2 linked regions of the Nothobranchius furzeri genome follow. The protein of the gene in region 1 purifies or fractionates together with the protein of each later gene. This does not show direct contact. Links are inferred from orthologs where the notes say so. Each region holds a gene or a part of one and is shown in the gene's direction. Other genes may lie near its edges.

Region 1 (4,523 bases):
CTACTACCTCCCCTTTGTAGCCGGTTTCCTCCTTCAGCTCCCTCAGTGCAGCCACCTCTGCCGTTTCCCCTTCGTCGATCAGCCCTGAATACAAAAACGCAGACAGAAATGTTATCGTGAGGACATGTTCCTGAAGGTTCCTCTAGGCTAGGGTAAAATCACTCGAGGACCTGCAGGAAACTCCAGAGTGCAGCTTCCAAGGGGAGGACGGAACTGCTTCACCATCACCACGCAGTCTTTATGAAGCGTTCGTTTCAGCAGAGCGATGATTCCTACACCTGCAAAGAAAAGATACAATTACAAACTTAACAATATAAACACAATGAATATCAAACAGGAAGACTAACCATCTGCTTCTGTGTTGGTCTGTCTGGTTGTCCTCTTCACAGTCTCCCAGGTTCTAGTGAACAAAAAAGAAAATATTTACACTTAATAGAACGATCAGGTTTTTCCTGTAAAGAGACATAAATGAAGGACTGAACTGTACCTGGTGTTTCCAGCAGAATCAACATATGTGGTCTTTTCCAGCTTCACCCATTGTCCTGCTGCCAAGAGCTGGAAGGCAAAAATAAACAAAGACGTGGTCCTAAATGAGACAAAAACTGGTCTGGAATCATTAAACTGACCTTATGACAAAATGCAGCTAAGGTGTAACAAATAAGAGAAAAAATAAGAGCACAAACCTCTTCTTTGACTATGTGTGGTGTCACTTTGGGCTCATCGGAGTTGCTCATTTTCTCTGTCGGATGAACTAAAACTGAAAGAAAGTAATAATAAACCACCACCTCTGTGAAATAAGCTGAGAATGTAAACAAACTACGACGTAATTAAATATGATTACGCTTCAGTCATCATCACGAGCGGCTCAGTTAGCTACAACAACTAGAAAAACTATCAATTCCCCTTCCATTAAATGTCTGCTTTAGGCTCGACTTTTGTTCTTTTTTATTTAACAACAGCTACGAGTTTCTGCCACACAAGTCGGAGTTTTAGTATTTTGAACTTTAACTTAACTCAAAATTTGATTGAGAGAAACTAAAGTTTACTCACGTGAAATCCCTGCCGAGTGTTAGCAGCAAAGAGCAGACAATAACAAGACGCCTCACTCTGAGAAGACTTCAGAGAGTCTCAAACGTCACTGTAGTAATACTGTATACCACACGTAATAAAATATCACGAAATTTAATAAAAAAATATTATTTTATTTGTTCGTTTAATAAGGAAGCGTATAGTATGTTTTAAAAGAAAAACAATTTTCTTTAAAACACAATTTACTGCCAACCTAGCACTTTACACTGAAAATTTAGATAGTTTTAATAGTAAATCGCTTTTGTTTTATTGATTACTTTAATATTTTAATGAACCATAATTATATCGAATGTTAGTCTGATCCATTTGTATTTACACCACTTTTCTAATTAAAGCCGTCCGTAAAATAATAAAGGATATAGTGAATAAAAAGAGAAAACCGTCTTAGTAATAAACGATCTATGTAAGAAATTGATGGTTACGTCATTTTACCACTTTGTGTACAACTCCCAAATGCTTCCCCCAAAAAACAACAAATTATGCTTCGCTCTTTTAAAATACGTAGTTGTTTTCCTCAATTAACTTACCAAATAAAGTTGAAAATGAATATAATAGAGTGCATGTAAAATAGTGTTGGGATTAAAGTTGGAGACTTTTATGACAATTGAAAAAAGATCCGATGATCCGGGTGATATTTACTGATGGACACATTTCCGGCTCAGGTTATTGCAGCATGAAGAAGGAGCAAGTAGCTAACTGTCAGTTTTCTGTTTGGTATCCGATATTCAAAAAACACACAATAAAAAGGTAAAATTTGCCAGTTCTAGGAGGAATTAAAAACAAGATATTGGTTTCTTCTTGCTGGATGGCCTTGGCTTTTTCTTTCATTTCGTTTATTTTCTTTCGGTCGTGTTTCATCTAAAATGAATTTGTGTTGTCTAAACGTTTTATTTTACAGTCAGATTCTTCCATTGCCTCAAAATGTGATAGACTATTTACTGGACGATGGGACGCTGGTAGTCTCAGGAAGGTATGAATCCACACGGATAAACAGTGTGTTTCTGTGAGTTTAAGATATGCTTTTTTTAGGATCAACATGTTAACCCTTGTTATTTTTCAGGGATTGAGCTAATCAGAAATGTGATGACGATTCTTAAGACGGTTTTACGACTTGTGGTGGTTTTTAGTTCGTGCTTGAAGCCTGTTGTTAGTTTATAATCGTGATTTTTCTCTTTTCTCCTCAGTGATCACAGCACACAGCCGACACACACTAACAGCTACAACTCAGACGCAGAGGAAGACGTTCAGGTGTGTTTACCACTCAGAGTTAACTTATTTTTAGCTTTTGAAATGCATAAACATACATCTGGATATGTAGATTGAAAATTCACTCTTTGTAATCTTAAACTCTTTGGATGGGAAATTGGTTTTAGTTGCCTTCCTTTTTTCTTTCACAAGCAGATCTGATGGATAATAGTTTTTGATAAGCTGGTTCAGTCTCCAGCCTGGACCACGGTGTGGATTTAAGACATCCTCAGGTGTCAGACATCAGACAATAGAGAAAAAACATCAGGTTCCATCCAAAAACCCATCAGACGTCTGACTAAGTAGAAACAGACTAAAAGGTCTCAGGAAACGTCTGTCAGACTTAAAGACCCTTTTGTCTGACAGACTATTTTCTGAGAGGTTTTGGTCTTTTAATGGTGGATTTGTTTATTTGAAGTCGTAGGCTATCTTTTCAGTAACTTCATCTTCGTTAACAGAGCCTTGTGAACAGATGTTCTGATCCCTGCAGTGGAACTTTGCAGCTCTTGTGAAATCCATTTGTTCTTTTTGTTAATCCATGTCCTCCTTTCCCGGATTGTGAGCTCCTTTCCAGGTTTCTGTTTAATCTCGTGTTTTTGTTTCCTACAGTGATATTTATTATTATGCATCTTTACAAATCTTTATCTTTTGATTTTTCTTTATTCTGTTTTACCTCTCTGCTCCCCTCTAGTGGTCAGATGATGAAACAACCACAACAGTCACTGTGAGTAGATTTGATTGCTCGAATATTCTGTTTTGAGCAAGAGTCAGTAAACGCACCACTTCCATTTAGATTTTTATCTCTTTTCAGATTTCTGAATAAACGAATTAATAAAAATAAACTAAATAAGACCTAGATACGTTCTCATTGGCCTCCGAATCCATACAAACGGGATATATGAGCATTTAGGCTGCAGATGTTTGTGATGGGGTGTGAATTCTGATGTTTTTAGAATTCTACAATTTAAATCTACCTGTTTGGTAATTACATCTCATCATTTTAAGTTAAATCGGCGGCTGTTATGCTATTTTGTGTTTCTATTTCCTACTGTTCTCTTATAAAGCTGTGAAATGTATTTGCCTCCTTACAGATTTCTTGTTTTATTTTTATTTATTTATTGTCCCTTAAAGAGACAACGTGTAGTTGTAACCATTGATTTCTGGAAATATCCATCAAAATCTTGTTGAAAAATATTGGTGGCTTTGTAACATATAACCTTAAAAATCAGGTCTAAAATACCTGGGAGTGGGCCTTACCCCCAAATTCCACTATCTCTGCTCCACTCTCCGCTGCCGCTCGCTTCCGAACTCAAATTATACTATACCCGCTCTACAACGGCTCCGCTCCGGTACAGAGACCCGAGGTGCGCAAACAGGCATGCGAGATCTTGCGATACAGTCCAAGCAATAAACGCGGAAGTTAGATCCAAACACCCGTTGTGTGGGAGAAGCATCGAAATGAACTGTTTAATCTGCCCATCATTTGTGTTGAGATACCAGCAGTGTTTGGATCAACAAAGGGTGACTACTTTGATAGTGGAAACTGTATTTATGGCTTACTTTTGTGCATTTAAAGTTCAACCGCCATTGATAGTTGTTAAAAGTTGTTAAACCTGTGCATATGAAACAAAAAAACACCTTTTGTTTATTTATTATGGAATAACAGATTTATTTATTATGGAATAACAGAAGTTGTGCTTGCTCCCTTTCCTGTTGGGCGGTTGTGATTTCTGTCCATTGACTGCGGAGGTGCCCTGGCATCCGGCAAAATTAGAATCGACCCTATTTTTGCCGGATGGCGGAACGGCGGGTGGCGCACTGCGCCGCACGGCCACAGTAGTGGAACAGCTCTGATTGATTACAGCGGGACCGTTTTTGCTGCGGAGTTCGTGCCAGAGCGGAGGTAGTGGAATTTGGGGGCAACTCTCTGGGCGACGCCATATTAGACACCATGTTTCATTCTACGGGAGCCCATGAGGACAAAATGCATTTACTGATTTGTAACAAATGGTTACAAGCTTTTGTCATTGTTAAATGTTGTTGTTCACAATTATCTCTTCACTGATAAAAGGGAGTCTGATGTGCTCATTATTTAGCTAAAGTTTGCCCTCCCCAAGGCTTTTTGACCCTAATGGGCGTCCGTTGGTACGGTCTTACTTCAACACAAAAATACTACTTGCTTGCAATGA
Region 2 (4,267 bases), on another chromosome or scaffold:
GGTTCTTGCTATTTGGTGTAAATATCTCAAATGTGTCACCCTTTTGTACGTCATTCTGTAATTCCGCTGTTGCCGGGAGGTTCAGTTGAAAGTGTGAAGCATGCAACCATGGCGAAGTCACAATACAGATCACACTGCACGGCTACGAAGAGAGACATCTGGCCTAATACTTTGATCCTGCTCCGTCTGTTTTTGTCCTCATGAGGTTATTTTTTATTTTTATTCGATATCATTAAAAGAGAAAAGATAAATATATTAAACTATTGTCACACCATATTAATTGCAACAGTAGAAAGATGGTTTATAAAAAAATATAGAATTAAAGTCAACCCAGAATATTTGCATTTTGCATTTAAATCATTTAGGTTTTTGAAATCACAACGTATGTTTTTACATAGTAAAAGAAATGCAAAAGGACAGATGGACAAGCATGTTTGCATTTCTATGTTTTATTTATCCAAATGAGAATATTGTTTGCAGAATCATTAAAAGGTTTTCAATTATTTTTACTGTTTTTGAATGTTTTAAATTTTTCATGTGTGTCTACTTACACAAAAAACCTTTTTTAACCAGTAAAGGTTTCATAAAGTGTCATGACTGTAGTAACTGGACCTTTTCTCTAATTTACACAATTAAAGACGAGTTAGGATTGCATTTATAAATAGGCTCATTTTATTGGGGTATATACTCTAAAATAACTCAAATATTAACTTTTATTCTAGCAGCTTTGGATGCCAGAATTTCTGTTAAAAATATGACAAAATGTCAATTTCAGAGTTGGTCACTTAAAATAGATACTTTATGAAATTATAACAATTAACACTGCAAAGGGATAAGTGTGAGTGTGTGTGGACGAATGATACACTGTAGTGTAAAGCACTATGGAGGCCTCTGACTCTGAAAGACGCAGGTCATTTATCGTAAGCAGACGAAAACCGATAGATGGATGAAATATATTAAGTAGTTCACCTGTTAAGAGTAACGTGAGAAGAAAACGTATACCCATAAAACTCCACTGTCGCATCTGCCTTCAGCTGTGATGAAATAGGAGACAACGTAGAGTTAATAACAAGCTTTTACTTTTTTTAATTCACTGTTTTGTAACAATTATTTGCCGTACAGTGTCGATCTTGAACACTACTCAGGTGTCATGCCGTGTGTCGCAAAGTAAGTGCGTAACGCGACTTCACGCCTGCGCAGTGAGGACCAACGCTGATGCAAGAAATATTTCGGCGCAGAGGTGTGGAGCTAATCGAGTGATTCGAAGTGGTCTGACTTCTGTGATTTTTGGCTGGCAAACATGTCCGGAGACGAGGTAGATTATCCTACATGATCTGTTGTTTTTTCCCTGTTTGTTTTGTTGTTCAAGGGAATTTTCCGACCAGCTCGGTGTTGAGGATGACTTTGGGCCTCGGCACAGCTAGTTCTTTCCTTGTCCGCAGCAGCAGCTCTCACATGGCCGCAGCAGGGCGAACAGCGGCCTGAGTTGTCATATTGACAGGAAAACATTGTCCGTGCTGTGGTTGTCACACTAGTTCACATTTATATTCATCATAGTAACTTCATGGTCACAGATCTAAGAATCAAGCAAAGGCTTAAGTTAGCTAAGTAGCTTCTTGAAACTGAGGCTAACCGTTGATTTATGTTAGCAACTACGAGCTAGCGAGAATTAGCTCAGCAAAAATGTTCTGGTAGACACTTTATTACAGTTAATAAAGAAAGACGTGATGTAAACCATCCATGTAGACATCTCTGATTTGTTTATTCTCAACTAATTATCACAAATAATACACTGCGTTTTACATTAGCTGTGTTAATTTGTCATGTTATGACATGCCATTTTCTCGCTTTAGTCTGTGTGTTGGTTTTGGTCAACCGTGTTTTTAGACCCATTATTTGTTTCTTTACAGAATGGATTAAGGAAGATAAATAAAATATTTAACTCCTGGTTGACATTTTAGAGTATATTTATTTAAAGTGAAATAAAATTTGCACATGTATCATTGAACCCATTTTTCATTTCCCTTTTAGATGATTTTCGATCCCAACATGACCAAGAAGAAGAAAAAGAAAAAGAAGCCCTTCATGCTGGATGAGGAAGGAGGAGAAGGGGTCGCAGGAGAGGAGGCTAAAGAGGTGGAGGCGAAGGAGGCTGAGCCAGAGGTTGGAGACGACAAGGAGCTGGATATAGATGAGGATGAAGGCAGGAAAAAAGGTAAGAATGATGACAGGCGTTTCCCTTTGTTACTCCTCCTACAACACAATTACATCAGTCTGAAGCTTTTTGTGGTTTCTTTGTCTTCTTTAGAACTGTCAGATGATTTGAATGACCTGAACTTCTTCAACCAGAAGAAAAAAAAGAAGAAACCTAAGAAAGTCTTTGATAATGATGTAGAGGAGGGGTTAAAGGTCAGTCAGTGCCACACTTTTTTACTTCTCTACACCTACTGACCCTGGAGTTTATATTTCTCACATTGTCAATACTTTATTATTGTTATTATTATTATTAAATTTCATAATTTTCTGATCCAAACCAGGAGCTTAAAATTGAAGGGGAGCAGACGGAGGCCCCGGAGGAGGACAGTCTGGATTTGATGCTTCCCACCAAAAAGAAGAAGACAAAGAAAGTAGATTTTGATGAGGGCGAGCTTTTGGAGAAAGATGACGGTAAAAACTGAAACTACAGAAATTACTTTAACATAAGGACCAATAGGATATTAGTGTAAAATGGGTTTATTTTCTATTTGTAGCACTGGAGGATGAGGAGAGCAAAAACAATGATGGGATTTCATTCAGCCCCTCCACTGGTCCTGCATGGGCCGGCTCAGAAAGAGACTACACGTATGATGAGGTAGATATTTGTTAATATCTGCCCCTTACACTTATTTATACGGCTCTGTCTTCTTAAAACAACCTTTTCTTGTTGTTGTTCTGTAAATGTTAATGTAAAGCTTGGCTGGTAGATCTCATGTCTGTTTCTGTTTCAGCTTCTAAACAGAGTTTTCAACATCATGAGAGAGAAGAACCCGGACATGGTGGCTGGAGAGAAGAGGAAGTTTGTGATGAAACCACCTCAGGTGGTCCGAGTTGGAACCAAGAAAACCTCCTTTGTCAACTTCACAGACATCTGCAAACTGTGAGTCTCCCTGGCAACCAACCCTTCTGAATGAACTCTACTGGGGCTTTTCTAAGTGTTGTACTTTCACTGATGCAGGTTGCATCGTCAGCCTAAACATCTCCTTGCTTTTCTACTTGCTGAGCTGGGAACAAGGTTTGTTTTTTGTTGTGTGTGTTCACAAGTTTGAGAAATGGTTTTTGTCATTGAAAACAAAAAGAGTTTTTATTTGGTCTTATCTGTTATCAGCGGCTCGATAGATGGAAACAACCAGCTTGTGATCAAGGGCAGATTTCAGCAGAAACAGATAGAAAATGTGTTGAGAAGATATATCAGTAAGTTTGGCTTTTTTCTCGTTTATTATTAAGTTGACTGTAATTTTACACTTGTGTACACACACACTCATATATCATTAGAATGATGCCCCCAAATCGATAACTGAATGACATACGCTTTAGATTTGGACCTTGGTTGTTGTATTGCTACTGATACCAGTCTTCTCGCTCCTGCAGAGGAATACGTAACCTGTCACACCTGCCGCTCTCCAGAGACCATCCTGCAGAAGGACACTCGTCTATATTTCCTGCAGTGTGAGACGTGCCACTCCCGCTGCTCTGTTGCCAGCATCAAGACTGGCTTCCAGGCTGTGACGGGCAAGCGGGCGCAGCTCCGCGCCAAAGCCAACTAAAGGCCATGAAAAGTGGGCTCCCTCTCTCCAAAGCTGGGATCGGTCGCCCCCTCTGATTTAAATAAAAGGACTCTCTGAATCGAACTGCGGGAGGGTTTGGTTGTTTAGTGGTTGCAGCCTTTACAGGCAGGAAGTGAAAGAGGATCTAAGTCTAACTGAAGAGGTACAGATGCTGTAAGCAGATGACGTTCTCCAGATTTACTGTTGGATTGAATGCATTTGGTTGCGTGGCTGACAAACCCTCTGCCTCCCAGGTTTTTTTTTTTTTTTCTATTTTGCTGTGATTTAATCTCTTGAAGAAAACCCCACAGGTTGTCAGGTATTTTAGTTTTTTCATTTTACACATACCAGTCATGAAGACTAAAAACATGTTTCCGTATAGCTAGTCAGATTGCGTCAAGCTAAAAGAGTCCACATGAAGAAAGCTTAAATGCTTTAATTGTATCCATGGCCCCTACTTAATT

What was found.
Region 2: the proteins of cdc123 (region 1) and eif2s2 purify together in Homo sapiens (affinity purification with mass spectrometry; 4 studies listed by BioGRID and IntAct, counting the BioPlex papers as one, with this or other methods). This does not show direct contact. The link is inferred for Nothobranchius furzeri from reciprocal best matches to the Homo sapiens genes CDC123 and EIF2S2.

Annotation. Positions count from the first base shown.
Region 1 is NC_091741.1:60,830,831-60,835,353, forward strand, and holds the start of cdc123 (translation initiation factor eIF2 assembly protein), read left to right. Parts: upstream 1-1,703; 5' UTR 1,704-1,708; coding exon 1,709-1,836; intron 1,837-1,987; coding exon 1,988-2,059; intron 2,060-2,273; coding exon 2,274-2,337; intron 2,338-3,025; coding exon 3,026-3,058; intron 3,059-4,523. Other genes in the region: nudt5 (ADP-sugar pyrophosphatase), read right to left, coding at 1-84, 171-278, 348-400, 488-555, 684-734. UniProt on the Homo sapiens protein: ATP-dependent protein-folding chaperone for the eIF2 complex. Binds to the gamma subunit of the eIF2 complex which allows the subunit to assemble with the alpha and beta subunits.
Region 2 is NC_091755.1:32,895,586-32,899,852, forward strand, and holds the start of eif2s2 (eukaryotic translation initiation factor 2 subunit 2), read left to right. Parts: upstream 1-1,157; 5' UTR 1,158-1,300; coding exon 1,301-1,315; intron 1,316-2,031; coding exon 2,032-2,215; intron 2,216-2,308; coding exon 2,309-2,409; intron 2,410-2,537; coding exon 2,538-2,667; intron 2,668-2,750; coding exon 2,751-2,851; intron 2,852-2,987; coding exon 2,988-3,136; intron 3,137-3,214; coding exon 3,215-3,271; intron 3,272-3,364; coding exon 3,365-3,450; intron 3,451-3,627; coding exon 3,628-3,803; 3' UTR 3,804-4,267.